2 linked regions of the Mus musculus genome follow. The protein of the gene in region 2 binds, or shares a complex with, the protein of the main gene of each other region. Links are inferred from orthologs where the notes say so. Each region holds a gene or a part of one and is shown on either strand. Other genes may lie near its edges. The genes, in order: Gon7 and Lage3.

The links.
Region 1: the proteins of Lage3 (region 2) and Gon7 are in contact, whole or in part, in a crystal structure (PDB 6GWJ), measured with the Homo sapiens proteins. The link is inferred for Mus musculus from reciprocal best matches to the Homo sapiens genes LAGE3 and GON7. Residues at the interface, in NP_006005.2 of Homo sapiens: Pro60, His61, Ile62, Phe63, Thr64, Leu65, Ser66, Val67, Pro68, Phe69, Pro70, Glu74, Arg102, Ile103, Glu111, Cys113, Leu116, Arg117, Val120, Ile121, Leu124, Asp125, Leu127, Ser128, Val131, Arg132, Met134, Gln135; in NP_115879.2 of Homo sapiens: Met1, Glu2, Leu3, Leu4, Gly5, Glu6, Tyr7, Val8, Gly9, Gln10, Leu17, Asp28, Pro29, Phe30, Gln31, Leu33, Leu34, Val37, Met40, Lys41, Val44, Thr45, Leu47, Phe48, Asp49.

The regions. Positions count from the first base shown.
Region 1 is NC_000078.6:102,753,017-102,762,093, reverse strand, and holds Gon7 (EKC/KEOPS complex subunit GON7), read left to right. Parts: upstream 1-4,283; 5' UTR 4,284-4,348; coding exon 4,349-4,553; intron 4,554-7,927; coding exon 7,928-8,019; 3' UTR 8,020-8,819; downstream 8,820-9,077. Other genes in the region: putative E3 ubiquitin-protein ligase UBR7, read right to left, coding at 113-173, 590-723, 3,916-4,065; Gm20604 (AK010878-Moap1 protein), read left to right, coding at 4,349-4,553. UniProt on the Homo sapiens protein: Component of the EKC/KEOPS complex that is required for the formation of a threonylcarbamoyl group on adenosine at position 37 (t(6)A37) in tRNAs that read codons beginning with adenine.
Region 2 is NC_000086.7:74,349,481-74,357,603, forward strand, and holds Lage3 (EKC/KEOPS complex subunit Lage3), read right to left. Parts: upstream 4,139-8,123; 5' UTR 4,048-4,138; coding exon 3,845-4,047; intron 3,523-3,844; coding exon 3,394-3,522; intron 3,019-3,393; coding exon 2,904-3,018; 3' UTR 2,682-2,903; downstream 1-2,681. UniProt on the Homo sapiens protein: Component of the EKC/KEOPS complex that is required for the formation of a threonylcarbamoyl group on adenosine at position 37 (t(6)A37) in tRNAs that read codons beginning with adenine.

The sequences.
Region 1 (9,077 bases), on a different chromosome or scaffold from region 2:
TTACAGGTAGCTGTGGATGCTGGAACTGGGAAGAGCAATCAGTGCTCCTAGCTACTGAGCCACCTCTCCATCCCTGCTCCCAAGTACATTTGTAATCACAGTGCTTACTTACAGGAAATAATTTGCATTCCAAGTTTTTAAACTTGCTGTTTCCACAATCACAACGAAAATTTCTATTAAAAAAAAAAGAACATATATTTACGTCTTCTTTTGAAATTAATCACTCTTTCAGTACCAACCATAACTCCCTCTGACTCATTCCTAGACTCTAAATGGCAGCCTTTCTGATGTTCGTGTCTCTTGTTGGAGTTTTCCAACAATAAAACAGATAAATACAAATTACCATTCTGGACATCACAACACATAAAAAACAAATATCTGTATCACTCACACACACAAACAAATGAGATAATGAAAAGATGAGAAGTTTGAGCCAGTCTCCATAATTAAAAGGCCTATAGAAAAACCATTCTCTCCCATATTAATTTTTACCAACACACAATTATTCTGAATAAAAAGCAAGATTAAGCAGCCATTGAGGTTGCGAAAGAATCTAAACATTCAGAAGACACTCAGGAAAAAGCATTACCTTTTTGTGTATAGTTCAAACAGTTTATGGCTTCCATGACATTCGTAACTGCAAGCTAGACAAATCCCTGCGGGCTCTTCTCCCTCTGGCGTGCAGGTGCTGCAGGCGTACAGTGCTTGTCTCCCCACTGAGCCCTGAGACACCAGCCCAAAACAAAAGGGAAGAAGAACAGAAAGACTAGTTAACCAACAAAGGGTCAAAACCACTATTTCAAGCCCCAGATCTATTCGGATGCTTAGCTTTATGTAAATTTTTTTCTTATAGCAATAGGAAGTTTAAATCTGTGAATAACTTGATCTGTTTAATCATTTTAACACATGAAAATAAAGGTGAGTTTACAGTTTACAGGTTTAAAAGATTAATACACCTTTTTTTTTTTTTTTTTTTTTTGGTTTTTCGAGACAGGGGTTCTCTGTGTAGCCCTGACTGTCCTGGAACTCACTCTGTAGCCCAGGCTGGCCTTAGCTCAGAGATCTGGCTGCTTCGGCCCCTGAGTGCTGGGTAATCCGTGTGCCACCACCACTTCGCTCACATTTCTCTTCTTTTTTTAAAGAGGTTTTAGTTATTTATATTATGGATATGAGTACCCTATTTGCACGTATGCCTGCATAACGGAAGAGGGAAGGCATGGACCTCATTACAGATGGTTGAGAGCCATCATGTGGTTGCTGGGAATTGAACTCAGGACCTCTGGAAGAGCAGCCAATGCTCTTAACCACTGAGCCATCTCTCCAGCCCTCACATTTCTTATTTTAGAAATTCTTATAATTCAACCATACAGAAAAATTAATCATTTTAATTTGGGGAGAGATGTATGGGGAAGCATCTAGAAGTATAATTATGCCCACTACTTACTGTCAAGTAATGAAGTATAAAAAAGGGCAAGTGTGTTCAACAGAGACAAATGTTTTAAAATGTTGAAGGAAAAATAGCAAAACTTAGAAGTGTTGGTAAGGGGATTCTCAGCACACAGGGCCGTGGTAGAGGGGACAGAGCACAGGTCCATACTGGTGCAGCAAATGCTTTACTGAGCCTGCCAGTGAACTACCACACACACTTCTATTCTATTTCAATCTGCTCCTAGTTTACTAAAGAATTTGCCGGGCCAGCGAGATAGCTCCGTGGGTAAAGTCACTGGCTCTGTAAGCCCGGAAACCTTCGGTCCACCTCCAGAACCTATACAGAGGTGGTGAGGACAACCGCTTCCATAAGGCTGTTCCCTGATGCCTGTCTGCATATGCTATGTGGTACATGTGCCCACACACATCAGTAAGCAAGCTTGTTAAAATCAACCTGGAGTTAGAGAGAGATGGCCCAGAGCTTAAACGCACATACTGCTCTCTCAGAGAACTAGCATTGAGTCCCTAGTACCGTGTTGGCAGCGCACAACCCCCTGCAACTCCAGTTCCAGGGGGATCAGATTCTTCTGCCCTCAAGAGCATCTGTGCGCACATGCACATAGCCACACAAATACTTGAAAATCTAACAAAACAAAAGACTGCCAGGTGGTAGTGGTGGTACACACTTTTAATCCCAGCATTTGAGAGGCAGAGGGAGGCATATTTCTAAGTTCCAGGACAGCCAGTGCTACATAGAGAAACTCCGTCTCAAAAAAACTAAAAGAAAATAATTATTATTATTGATATACTTATATAGAGATATGACTATTTAAAAACAAAAACTTAGGACCAGGCCTTTAATCCTAGCACTTGGGAGGGAGGTGGATCCTTGTGAGTTCAAGGTTAGCCTGGCCTACATAGTGAGTTTCAGACCAATTAGAACCACTCAATCTGACTGTCTCAAAAAACAAAAACAAAATTCACCAGAAACAAGACTTTAAGCCAAGCATGGTGGTACACACTTGTAATACCAGCAGCACTTGGGAAGTGAAGATAGTCAAAAATTCAAGGCAGATCTGAGGGACATAAGATCCTACCCCCAATTTTAGTTAGTATTGTATAAAAATAAGTATATTAATAAAGAGCTTACATACAGACTTAGGATCTTTCTTTCTTTCTTCCAATGAAGGGGTGGGTGTGTGGTTTAATGGTCACAATGAAAAAGAGAAATAAAAAGGAAAGGACATGCCTGTTCCTTGGGAGGTTGAAGGAAAAAGTTTACTATAAAAGGAAGAGCTCGGAGGCAAGGACTTTTAGGAGAGTCCAGAGGCTAAAGATTCTGAACTGGGCCCTGGGAGAAGAGCAAGGAAGGGTAGGGGATAGGGATGGGGAGCCAGGTGCTACAGCCAGGAGACCCAAGAGAGCTGCATAAACAAAACGGCTGCATTATTTAGGGAAGGGAAGCTGGGGGAAGGGTAGCCCGGCTCCTGGGCTGGAGAAGTCTGGGAAAGTGGATTGGGTATGTCTGCCAGGAGAGTCCCGGAAGGGACAGAAGGGCAGGGAGAACCAGGAGGCCACCATCGGCTTTGATATGTTAAATAGGCACAACAGCAGAGTCCAGGGTTTGAAACCTAACAATGATCCTCCAAATTTAAATACCAGCGACCATGCTGTGACTACTTCTGGGATACAAGATTTATTCAACAATTTTACAGTGCAAACCCAACTTGGTCAACGAAGACAACTAGTATTATGACTTCAGTCCACGCCACACCATAACTCCAAGTCCCTTCACTCCTACCCCAGTCTCCCACTCCACCCATGGGCATAGTTAGCCTGTTTCCTTCCACCAATTCTCATCCTTGTTGTTAAGTTTCCTTCCTACCCACCCTTTTCCACGTTAGTACTTAAATGTACAGTATGCGTCACTAAACACTACATCTCAGCCCCTCAAACTCTCTCGTTCAAAAGGTCCCACAAATGCCAAACAGATCCTTTTCTCCTCTTGGCTTTCCAGTCCCCAGAGAGAGGGGATGTCACATAGCACATACACACGAAACTTCATTTAACCAGAAAGGGGGTGAGGTGGGGGCAGCTAGCAGTTAAACTAGACTACAGGAGTGTCCGGAAGCCGAACCTCACCGGAAGATTTTCAAAGCCGGCCCACTTTCCCTTTACTTTTCCCCATCTGGTCCCTAATTAAGATTCTTGGGCGGTGGGAGAAGTGGAGCGAAGAATATCTGGGTTTGAGAGATCACGAGAACAACCTCGTGAAAAGCAGGCCACCAAGAGGCGACAACTGGAGGACCGGAGCCTGCAGTGTACCATCAGCGGAACCGAGGGACAGCCCTGGTGGCGACAAGCTGAGGATGAAATGGCAGCCGGGCCGGGGCTGTAGAAGCACAGAGTAAAGGGCCGCCGTGAGTGGGCCCGGCCGCGGCCAGCGGGAAACAGACAGGACGGCGGGAGCAGCCGGGCCGCGCGCACCTGCGAGTAGGAGCACTTCTCCGAGTCGCTGCCGCCCAGGACGGCGCACGCCTCATTCTCCAACTCCTCGTCTTCCTCGAGCACGTCCACCAGCGACACCACGGGCTCCAGCTCCGCCTGGCACTCGGTGGGGCTCTCGGCTCCGGCCATCCTCAACTGTCACCGGGCTCCGCTGCGTGGGCCCAGGAGGAGGCGGGAAAAGTGGCCGCCGCCAGGGGCGTCGCGAGAAGGCGGGGCCCCGTGAGGAGGCGGAGCCCGAGCACCAGACAGCCAATCCTAAGGAAGGACACGGAAGAAAATGGGCGGGCCAATTTCGGGAAATCGGAAGTCATTCCTCCTCCTCCTCGCCTCTCCCGCCCGCCCCGGCCGCAGGCTGGCTTCCGCTTCCGGGTGGCGTTTCTCCGAGGCGCGCTGTTGAAGCTGAGTGGTCGCCATGGAGCTTTCGGGCGAGTACGTCGGTTGTGACGGGGAGCCGCAGCGGCTACGAGTGTCCTGTGAGGCGTCGGGAGACGCGGACCCTCTCCAGAGCCTGTCGGCGGGCGTGGTCCGGATGAAGGAGTTGGTAGCGGAGTTCTTCGGGACCCTAGTGGAGCAGGACGCGCAAGGCTTGGCGGAAGATCCGGACGACGCTTTGGATGGTGAGCGCGGGGGCGGGGCGCCGGGGGACACTGGCGGGACCGGGCAGTGTGAAGGGCAGGCTAGAGAAGGCGAGCCCCGGAGAAGAGGAGCAATCGCTTCTAAAAATCCTTAGAACTCGCTGCCCTCTTTGTCTGATATCCCACCGCCCCCCGTTTTTGCGACTTTTCCCACCAAAAAAAAAAAAAAAAACCGTGGCGAGCGTTGGACTAGGGACTGGTCAACGGACGAAGTCAGCTTGACTCCCTTGCAAAGAACGCAAAGGATTAAGATAGGCAGAGAAAGTGGCGGTCTGTAACCATTGCTAGCTGGCACGAAGACCCGAAAGGGCGGGAAGGTAGACCTGGTTGTTGAAAAACGGAAAGGAGTGAAATTAGAAACGAGAAAACGTGTTTGACAGAATGAGGAGAGCTTCGAATGACCGAGGCCCACTTTGTTTTAGGGAATCTTAACCCTCTCAGTTTTGTAGCTATTGTTTCGAAAGTAAAAGAGTTCTTTTTAGTTTAGCTTTTTGGTATTCTTAAATTAATTGATCGTTTCATTCATGTATTAATGCATTCAGGTCATGGTCTCTATCCCCCGCTGAACCCTTCTCGACAGGGCTCCTCGCCTTTCTTTCCGGCCTTTTTTTGTCACTGGATTTATTTAAGGATATTTGTATGATATTTACTGGAACTAGGGCAACACAGCAGTGACTAGACCACTGAAGAAAAACAATGACTCCCCCGCCCCCCATTAACCGCCAACCGCTCCTCTGAGAGGGGTGGCGCCTCATGAGCCCCCCCCTTCCTTGATGGAATGTTTACGTTGCCATCTTGTGCTGCCAGAGTTTAAGGGCTATATAATGTCCGAAAGCACTACAGCCCTTCCCGTCCTCTTACTTTCTCTCACCCCCTCTCCTGTTGTAGAAATTAACTGTTAATTTTGGTGGCTTGGGGTTTGTTTGCTTTTAAAGATGGATGTTTACCTGCATGCTTGTCTGTACACCTCTTATGTGCAGTGCCTTCGGAGGCCAGAAGAGGGCATCAAATCCCCTGGAACCAGAGTTACAGATAGTCAAGAGGGTGCCTCGTACATGCAGGGGAAAAGTAGGTGGTGCTCTTAACCACGGAGCCATCTCTCCAGCCCTAGCTCTGTTAATAGGAATAAAATTATTTTGTAGACATTGTCACCATGTAACGGTTAAACCAGCCTCGCTTTGGATTTGCAGAGACCTGCCAGACTCTGCCTCAGCAGTGCTGGAATTAAAGAAATATGCCACCACACTCCACTGTTGTTACATTTATTTCTAATCTTGAATTGAACACCAAGATAGATGTTTCATTGTTCTGAGCTAAGGAGTCAATTCTTCTGCAGAGGAGATTAAACTTCCGTATTCTTTATAATATAGTTATTGGCTGTCATTAAAAGGAACAATAAGGGGCTGGTGAGATGGCTCAGCAGTTAAGAGCACTGACTGCTCTTCCAAAGGTCCCAAGTTCAAATCCCAGCAACCACATGGTGGCTCACAACCATCCATAATGAGATCTGACGCCCTCTTCTGGTGTGTCTGAAGACAACTACAGTGTACTTACATATAATAAATAATTTTTTTAAAGAAACAATAAAAAGTATTAGCTAGATGTATTATTCACGGTTCTTCAAAGGAGCAGAGCTGATAGAATAAGTGTGATATAAAGATATTTATTAGAATGGCTTATGGCCTGTGATCTGAGTAGCCCAAAACTGGCAGTCTCCTGACAGAAAGGCTAAGCATCTGATAGTTGTTTGGTCCATGAGACTGGATGTCTCAACAGTCCCAATCATGTACTGGAGTTCCTGGAAAGTCTTAAGAGAGCTGCCAGTTTTCAGTCTATGTTGGAATCCTAAAGAGTAGGTTCTAACACCAACAAAGGAGTATCTTGGGCCTCTCAGTAACAGGATAGATGAACTTGATAGTCAGTGAGGGCAAGCAGGCAAAAAACAAAAGCTTCCCTCCATATCTTTTCACCTGGGCTGGGCAAGTTGACATTACTTGTCATTCTAAGATAGGACAGGCCACATTGTTGGTGGAAGTGTAAAGTGGTTATCTTAATTATATAGTTAGAGAAGAGCCTAGCTGTATGGCCAAGGTATTTGGATATATATTTTGAGTCTGAGTCTTATTTCTGGGAGCATTGGTCTAGGAGGAGGAACTGGAATCAGACTTCTACAAAATGATACCCTATGTTGGGTGCCAATAGGTTGTAATAAATTAGGAGTTTCTACTCCACCTTAGATCATTTAGTTCTCAGATTAAAAGACTTCTATTACTGTTTTATAATATGTAATAATATGGGTTTTTTTTTTTTTTTGGTTTTTGGTTTTTAGTTTTTCAGACAGGGTTTCTCTGTATATCCCTGGCTGTCCTGGAACTCACTTTGTAGACCAGGCTGGCCTCGAACTCAGAAATCCGCCTGCCTCTGCCTCCTGAGTGCGGGGATATAATACAGTTTTAATGCACTAGAGCTGGGCAAATATCTCCTTTCTAAGCTATTCTGAGCCACTTCCCCCAAAATAACCCCGGGTTATAACTTACCGTGTTCTATCTGGGCAGCTCTTAACTCCAACTGGCCTGTCCTCATGGCATGGCCATGTTTTCATGACTCACCTACCCCATGGTGTCTTCTCTCCATCTTCTTTTTTTCATGGTTCTCTTCAATCCACAAGAACCGAAACCATACCTACCTCTCCTATCCATCTATAGGCATCTTTATTCAACCAATAGTTTTAAATTAAGGAGCAGGGTCACATATCATTACTTGATATATGTGAGGATTCTCTCATCCCTGGGGCAACAAGACTTTGGGGGCCAGCATTTAGCATTACATTATTAACAGGCTGGCCTCGAACTCAGAGATTTGCCTGCTGCTTCCTGCCAAGTGCTATAATGAAAGGTATACATTTACTTTGTTTTTAAGACATGTCCTTACTGTGTAGCCCTGGCTCCCACGGAATTTACTATGTAGATCAGGCTGGACTTGAATTTAGAGAGAGATCTCTGCGTGTCTCCGCCTCCTAAAGGCTAAGATTAAAGGCTATCACACTCAACAAATTCCTCAAGTTTTTAAAAATTCACTTATTTTAAATGTATATGGGTAGCATGTTGCATATGTAAAGTGGGCTCTCTCCTTTTTATTGGGTTCAAGGGATTGAACATGGGTCACCAAACTTGTACTGCATTCACTTTTACCCACTGAGCAGTCCTACTGGCCCCACCCCTAGCATTTATAAACTGTCATGTATGTCTGGTTTGTGAGTCCCCAAAGGGAAATGGTCTCAGATCAGTCCCTTTACCTATTTGTATTTCTTCATCCACTAAACATAATGTCATACAACAAACATTTATTTTTAAAAGGTGATGATGAAGATGATGCAGAAGATGAAAATAACTCTGGTAGAACTAACTCAGATGGACCATCTGCAAAACGTCCAAAGCCAGCATCTTAACAATAGTGTTAGGACATTAAGACTGCTGCTAGGTTGAGTGTGATGATGCATATGTGTAATCCCAGTTAATTACACTGGCTGAGGCAGGAGAATTCAAAGTTGGAGGCCAGCTTGTGTGCTGCATGTCAAGACTTTGCCTCAAAACAAAAAGCCAAGATAGCAGAGCGCTGCCATTTCATCACCTGCTGGAACTTACAGAAGACCTGTGCTCTAGTTGGGGAACTCATTTCTTTTGTTTGATTGGAACAAGTTCATCACAGAGCAAACTTCCTTGTTTCTAACAAAGAAAAGTACAACAAAAGTTTGGGAGTGAACTCTTTTGTTTTCTCATCCTAAAATAAAATGGAACCATTCATAGTGGATGAAATCTAAATTGGCAAATGAATTTTTATGTTTGTTTTTCTCCTTTAAAATGATCGTTGAGGGCTGGTGAGATGGCTCAGTGGGTAAGAGCACCCGACTGCTCTTCCAAAGGTCCAAAGTTCAAATCCCAGCAACCACATGGTGGCTCACAACCATCCGCAACAAGATCTGATGCCCTCTTCTGGAGTGTCTACAGACTACAGTGTATTTACATATAATAATAAAATAAATCTTTAAAAAAAAAAAAAAAAATGATCGTTGAATCAAATGGTGTGTGTCTACATCTTTCAGTGTTTATAAAAGCTGCTTATCATAGTTCATAGGCAATTAATATTTAAAAGAATCGATAAGAGAAATATGATTTGTGTGTGTGTATATACGTCTGTACAAGTATAGATGTGAGGTTCAAATCAATAAAATACATTGATTGTAACTTACATATTTTCTGTAGCCTCTTTTTTTTTAATTTTATTCAAAAGGGGACTGTTGAATAGTTCCTAAAATATATTGTATGTGTTCCTTTTCTGCTGTTTATCGGTGGAACTAGAGTGGGGTTTTTTGATTTACAGTGCATCTTTCCTGATCCTGACACTTGAAATGCAAAATATACCTAATGAGATTAGAATAATTCTTTTAATTATATCTGTTTTGTTTTGAGGCTGGGTCTTGCTATGTATGTGGCCTAGACTGGCCTG
Region 2 (8,123 bases):
GGCTAAGAGCACTTGTTACTCTTGCAGATGACCTAGGTTTGGTTCCCCCACATGGTATCTCACAATTGCCTGTAACTCTAGTTGCAATGTCCTCTTCTGGCCTCCATGAATACCTGTACTCTTTCTTTGTTTTGTTTTTGTTTTTATTTATTTTTAAAGATTTATTTATTTTCTTTTTTTTGGGAAATGTTTTAAAAAGATTTATGTATTTATTTTATGCATGAGTACACTGTAGTTGTCCTCAGACACACCAGAAGAGGGCACGAAGTAGCATTACAGATGGTTGTGAGCCATGTGGTTGCTGGGATTTGAACTTAGGACCTCTGGAAGAGCAGTCATTGCTCTTTACCGCTAAGCCATCTCTCCAGCCCCCACATACCTGTACTCTTGTATACACACACACACAGAGAGAGAGAGAGACAGAGAGAGAGAGAGATTTAAAAATTAATGTTGGGAAAAAAGGAGGGCTGAAAGTATGGCTTAGTGCTTAAGAGCAACTGTTCCTCTTGCAGAGGACCCTAGTTCAATTCCTAACACCCATGCATTGACTCACACCCAAGGAAAGAGACTAAGGCCTGGGAAAAGAATCTGCTCCTGTGACAACTCTCCTTAGCCCTGAAAGCAAGACTAGTAGCTGCCTTCTCTTTTGGATGGCAGTAGGAAGGGTCAGAAAGGTCATGCCTCAGTAATGAGAAAAGCCTACTTCTATACACAGCTGCTCTGCTCCATGCAGCATTCCCTCAAAGTAACATACAAAGGTTCATATACCCTCCAAGGGATACAAAGAAGCAGGAAAACTCAACTCAGATGAAAGGAAAAAAATATTAGTAGAAAGGAAAAGGTACAATGGCTTTTATTCTGAGAAACATAACCTATACAGAAAATCTGATGGCATGTACAAATAAACCACTGGGCTGAGGGTAGCCACGTTGTAGGGCATGTTTTATGGGGAGTTGATGTCAGACACTTTTCCTTACAAGGTGGAGAAGCTAACTAAGCTCTATTTCTGGGTTATTTGTTTTTACATAAACAAAGTTTTTTGGGAGGGGATGTACTGGCATTTGGTTTAGGGGGGGAAATATTAGCAGCGCTAAGAATTTGAAAAAAACAGTATCTGGTGGGTAGACTTACTTTCAGGAGTACATTTACTAGGGTATGTCGAGAACATTCAAAGAAATCTTACTAAGAGCTCATAAACTAATCAAGAATAATCATTTGTTCAAACATGTATTTACAAGAATCATATCCAAATTATTTCTCAGGAAACAAGGCAGGAGAATCAGTGGTTCAAGGTCATCCCAGCTATTTAATGTGTCTGAGAACAAGCTGGGGTATATGAGACTCTTATAAAATAAAAGAAAAATTGGAAGAATGAAATGATTTTTTCGAGACAGGGTTTTTCTGTGTAGCCCTGGATGTCCTGGAACTCACTCTGTAGACCTGCCTGGTCTTAAACTCAAAAATCCTCCTGCCTCTGACTCCCAAGTACTGGGATTAAAGTCATGTGCCACCACGCCCGGCTGAATGAAATGATTTTTAAGTATTCAACAATTACATTAAATTGCACCACATATATGCCTATTTCAGTGTTTAAAAATTATTTTTTATGCACAAGCCGGGTTTAATGGTGAATGCCTGAGGTCCCAGCAGCACCTGAAAGTAGAGATGAGGATAAGAAACTGAAGAGTTTGAGGCCAGCCTAGGCTATGAGACCCTTTCTCAAAAAATAAAAACAACTTGGCTAGAAAGAAGGAAAATGCACTATAGGTGAAAAAAAAATCTTAAGAAGAATTATAATGCTAAACTTAAAATTTTTATTTATTTGGTGTTTGTGGTATGCATATGTGCAAACACTCTCCAAGGTCAGAGGACAACTTGTAGGAGTTGGTTTTTTCCTATCACTTTGTAGGATTCAAACCACCATAGCGCATGGAATTTTAATTTTCCTGTATTTCTGAAATTATCCTCATTCACTTTCTTCTAATATATTTTTACAGTACTGGGAATTGAACCAAAGACTTCATACATTTTAAATGAATACTCTTACCTTGTACTAACAAACACCTGAGCCGGGCAGTGGTGGTGCCCACCTTTAATCTCAGCATTTGGGAGGCAGAGGCAGGTGGATTTCTGAGTTTGAGACCAGCCTGGTCTACAGAGTGAGTTCCAGGACAGACAAGACTACACGAGAAACCCTGTCTTAAAAAAAAAGAAAAAGGGCTGGCGAGATGGCTCAGCTGTTAAGAGCACTGACCACTCTTCCAAAGGTCCCGAGTTCAAATCCCAGCAACCACATGGTGGCTCACAACCACTCGTAATGAGATCTGACACCCTCTTCTGGTGTGTCTAAAGACAGCTAAAGTGCACTTATGTATAATAATAAATAAATCTTCGGGCTGGAGTGAGCAGGGACTGAGCAAACGGAGTTGACTGGAGCAAGCTGGCTGACCGTAGCGAATGGGGTTGACCGGAGCGAGCAGCGGTCCTAAATACAATTCCCAACAACCACATGAAGACGCAAAACCATCTGTACAGCTATAGTGTACTCATATGCATAAAAATGAATAAATAAATCTTTTTAAAACAAAGAAAAGAAAAAACAAACAAAAGAAACCACCTGAATTCCAGAGCCCCTCCTCCAACACAAAATAAAAACCAAAGAAAATTTAGAGGCTGAAAATAAGCTCAAATGCAGATTAGCAACATAGCTTTATTTTCTTCAGCAACAAACATTGAAGCACCAGACCAAATGGCTCCTAAGTGCCTGAGGACCAAATCAGGAAAAAAATATTAGGCCCCCACATTTATGTAGTAGTTACTATTTCTAGAATCTTTTCCCTAGGGAAAATTGTATTGCTTAGGAGGAGACGGAGATAAGGTCAGACATGGGTCCCCAGCCAGGCTTAACAGGAAACTGGGGGCCCAAAGAGCTGTATGGTGTTCACCACTAGGGAAAGCTGGTCAAGAAAGTTGATGATGGAAAGTCGGAGGAGGCGAGAATCTTCCGCGATCCAGCGTCTAAGAGTGAGGAAAAGAACATCAAATTCAAACTGGTAGTTTCTACCCTTATTTCTTTCCTTTTATTTATTTTTTTTTTTTTGGAAATAGATAGAAAATCTCTCACTATGTAGCCATGGTTGGCTTAGGGATTGCTATGTGGATCTGGCTGGCCTGGAACTCACAGTAATCAGACCATCTGCCTTTCTCTTGGCTCCTACCCTTTCTTCATCTGTCAGGCATCCACTGTACTGCAGGTAGAGACTAGACTGGTCCAGTGCATCATGCCTTTCCTTAAAAATCACTCTAGTGTGATGATGTCTCTGAGGAAGTGCAGCCTAGGGTGGAGGATGGCCCAGACACCTACCCAGCATCCTAGACTCTTTCAACACTTACACCTCCAGCATGCAGCCGCTCACTTTAAGCTCCTTCCCTACCAGTCCTCGATGTGGTTCGACATCTGGAACTAGGGACCCACAGGCGATTTCTGCCTCCAAAGAGGTCGGGAAAGGCACGAAGAGGGAGCTGGTAGAGACTCAGGAAAGGCACCATCTTGAATCAACTTTGCCTCCTTACCCCTCTAAAATCATCGCATCTGGTCTAAGCTCCCCAGGCTATATCTTCCACATTGCTTGGGCCATTCCTGCTCATTTCCCTCCACCCTGCTGCCCCTCCTCTGTTGTCAAGGAACTTTTCATGCCCAGGCCATACCCCAATCAGCGGGTCCCTCTGCTTCCCTCCTCCCTGCTTTTTTTTCTTTTCTTTTCTTTCTTTTTTTACCCTCCTCCAGACTACCCGCTTCCCTGTTTCAAGCATCCCGCAGATATGTCCATGTCCGGTAGGATACAATCTGTGATGTCGGGTTCCAGGCCTTTGGGTTAAAGGCACCATGCTTTTGCTGGAATTTCGGGAGGCTTCCAGTGCTCTTGCAACAGGGTGAGCTCCACTGGGAATAACTGCCTTTGTGCCTGCATTACCAGGACAACAGCGGCTAGTCTGACCATCGGCGCCATCTGCAGTGTGGCTTAAACCTGTGTGTGCTGTCTGCATGTCTGCTGCTGTTCCTCCTTTCAACCCACCTTCGCGTTACCAGCCCGCCGCCTCTGCCATTGCTGCGGCCCAGAACCCGCCTTATCCTCCGGAAGCTCCGCCCCTCGCACAGGCTGCCATTCCACACGCGCCTGCGCGAACGGGGAAGGTGGTGGGGCCGGGGAGGGGCGAGGGGCGGGGGGGGGGGAGGGAGGCGGGGCGGGGAGGAGCGGTGGGGGGGGGGGGTGGGGGTGGGCAGGAGGACTCTCCAGGGATTTATAGGTTGATCTGGTCAGCTTCTGCCTCCAAAGTGCATCACCATGCCAAGTTGTCCCTACAGTTTCCTAAAAGGGACCTAAGGTGATATTTTCTAAAAAACAAAACCACAACAAAAACCAAAACACTATCAAACCAAAAAACTGTCAAGTGGCCTGGTGTGGTGATGCCTGAAGAAATCTTAGCATTTAGGACCATGGTTCTCAATCTGTGGGTTGACCCAAGTTGGGGTCACATATCAGATATCCTGCATATCAGATATTTACATTACAACTCATAACAGTAACAAAATTACAGTTATGAGGTAGCAATGAAAATAATTTTATGGTTGGGGTCACCATAACATGAGGAACATATTAAAGGGTTGCAGCATTAGGAAGGTTGAGAACCACTGATTTAGGAGGTGGGAATAGTTCTTTGCTTAAGTTGGAGGTCAGCCTGATCTACATAACCACTTCTAGGCTATCCAGACTTACATATTTATATCATCTCAAAAGCAGTCACAAAACAGAAAACCCCATCAACAAACAAATGAAGTGAAATGAGATTTTGAGTATCAGCAAGCAAGAGGTTTCTTTATTTTTCCAGATAAGTTCTCTTAGCCAGGGTTACATGCCTTTAATCCCGACACTTTGGAGGCAGAGCAGGTGGCTGTGAAGTTGAAGTCAACCTGGTCTTCATAGTGAGTTCTAGGACAGCTATATAGTGAGGCCCTGTTGAGGGTGGTGGTAGAGGGATCGGGAAAGGAAGGAGAGAGGGGGGACAGAGAGGACAGAGAGGAGAAAGAGGAGAGAGAGACTCTATGTAGGTCTGGCTGTCCTGGAAGTTGTTCTGTAGACCAGGCTGGCCTCAAACTCAGAGATCTTCCTGCCTTTGTCTTCTGAGTGCCAGGATTAAAACACAACCCTCACCCCAGCTAAATGTATTTATTTTTATTGTATGTGTTTGAGTGTTTTCCCTGTTTGTATATAAGTGCACCTACTGTGTGCAGGTCCTGGTATCTATGTGAATCCTGTAACTGGAGTTGTGGGTGGTTATAAACTGTCATGTGGGTGCTGGGAACTGAATCCAGGTCCTTTGCAAGAGCAGCAAGTTTTAATTACTGAAGCAGCTCCAGCTCCTCTCCTTGAACACCTTCAAAAGCCCTGAGATTTTCTTTTACAACTGTCTACAGCTTATCCTCCACAAAATCATTCCTAATTTCATTTTTAAAAATATGTCTTACTTATTCCTTGACAATTTCATACATGTATACTATGTATTTTGATCCTACCTATCCTCCAACTCACCTTTTTCACTTTGTCAGATTTGTTTGTTTGTTTGAGACAGGGTTTCTCACTCTGTAGACCAGGCTGGTCTTGAACTCAGGAATCCACCTGCCTCTGCCTCCCAAGTGCTGAGATTAAAGGTGTGGGCCACCACTGCCCAGCTTCAAAATTCTTATATAGATCATATGCATGCTTAAAATTCTGTAAATTGGAGCTGGAGAGATGGCTCAGCTTTTAAGAGTGCTGGCTGTTCTTGCAGAGGACCTGGGTTCCATTCTCACTACCCACCTAGCAGCTCACAAGAAATGGTTCAAGGGGGACCTGATGTCCTCTTCTGGCTTCCATGGGCACCAGTAACATGTCTGATGCACAGAGACACATAAAGGACAAACACCTATGCATATAAAAATAGAATAATTACATTTTTATTTTTAAAACTCTAAAAATAAGAATGGTGGCTGTGGGTTCGACAGCACTCATTAGGTATAGCACTTATATGACATTTCAAGGTCCTGGTTTCATTCCCAAAGTCTCTGCAGTAGTTTATAAGATCGTTGTATAATGTGGCTCAATGACTTCTTGGTCAGGGAAGAAATAAAAACAGAAATTAAAGACTGTCTAGAATTCAATGAAAATGAAGGCACAACATACACAAACTTATTGGTCACTATGAAAACAGTGCTAAGAAGAAATTTCACAGCACTAAATGCCTTCATAAAGAAATTAGAGAGTTCTCATACTAGCAAATTAATAGTATACCTGAAATCTCTAGAACAAAAAGAAGCAAGCACACTCAAAAGGAGTGGGTGGCAAGAAATAATAAAATTGAGGGGTGAAGAAGAAAAGAAACAAAGAGAACAGTACAAAGAATCAATGAAATAAGCTGGGTGTGGTGGCGCACGCCTTTAATCCCAGCACTTGGGAGGCAGAGGCAGGCAGATTTCTGAGTTCAAGGCCAGCCTGGTCTACAGAGTGAGTTCCAGGACAGCCAGGGCTACACAGAGAGACCCTGTCTCAAAAAACAAAAAACAAAAACAAACAAACAAAAGAATCAATGAAATAAAGAGTTGGTTCTTTGAGAAAATCAACAAGATAGACAAACCCTTATCCAAACTAAAAGACACAGAGACAATACCCAAATTAACAAAATCAGAAACAAAAGAGAGGCATAACAGACACCCAGGGAATCCAAAGAATCATGAGGACATACTTTAAAAACCTGTACTTCATCAAATTGAAAAATCTAAAAGCAATGGATAATTTCCTCAATAGGTATCACTTACCCAAATTAAATCAAGATCAGATAAGCAATTTAAACATACCTATAATGCCTAGTAAAATAGGAGCTGTCATTACGGCTGAGATGGCTCAGTGGGTGAGAGCACTGACCGCTCTTCCGAATGTCCTGAGTCCAAATTCCAGCAACCACATGGTGGCTCACAACCATCTGTAATGGGATCTGATGCCCTCTTCTGGTGTGTCTGAAGACAGCTACAGTGTACTTATTGATGATAATAAATCTTTTTAAAAAAGAAGCAGTCATTACAAGTCTCCCAATCAAAATTAAAAAAAAAAAAGCCAGGGGTCAGATGGTTTTAGCACTGAATTCTACCAGACTTTCAAAGACAAGCTAATACCAATATTCAAATCATTATATAAAATAGAAAGAGAAGAAACAATGCCAAATTCATTTTATGATGTCACAATCACTCTGATACCCAAACCACACAAAGACTCCATAAAAAAGAAAAATACAGACCATAATAAATTCATAAACATTGATGCCAAAGTATTCAATAAATTATTCACAAACAAATAAAAAATCACATCAAAAACATCATCCATCATGATCAAGTAGGCTTCATCCCAGAGGTGCAGGTATGGTTCAAAGTGTAATCCACCATATAAACAAACTGAAAGAAAAAAAAATCACATGATCATCTCATTAGATGCTGAATAAACCTGTGACAAAATCCAACACCCCTTCATTTTAAAAGTCTTAGAGAGATCTGGGATACTAGGTATATACCTAAACACAATAAAGGCAATATATAACAGACCAATAGCCAACTTCAAAAAAATGGAGAGAAACTCAAAGCAATTCTACTAAAATTAGGGACAAGACAAGGCTGTCTATTCTCTCCCTATCTATTAAATATAGTACTTGAAGTTCTAGTTAGAGCAGTAAGACAACTAAAGGAGATCAAGGGGATACAGGTTGGAAAAGAAGAGGTCAACATGGGGCTGGTGAGATGGCTCAGTGGGTAAGAGCACCCGACTGCTCTTTTGAAGGTCCGGAGTTCAAATCCCAGCAACCACATGGTGGCTCACAACCATCCGTAATGTGATCTGACTCCCTCTTCTGGAGTGTCTGAAGACAGCTACAGTGTACTTACATAAAATAAATAAATAAATAAATAAATAAATCTGTTTGTTAAAAAAAAAAAAAAAAGAAGAGGTCAACATATTGCTATCTGCATATGATATGATAGTATACATAAGTGACCACAAAAATTCTACCAGAGAACTCTTATAGCTGATAAACACTTACAG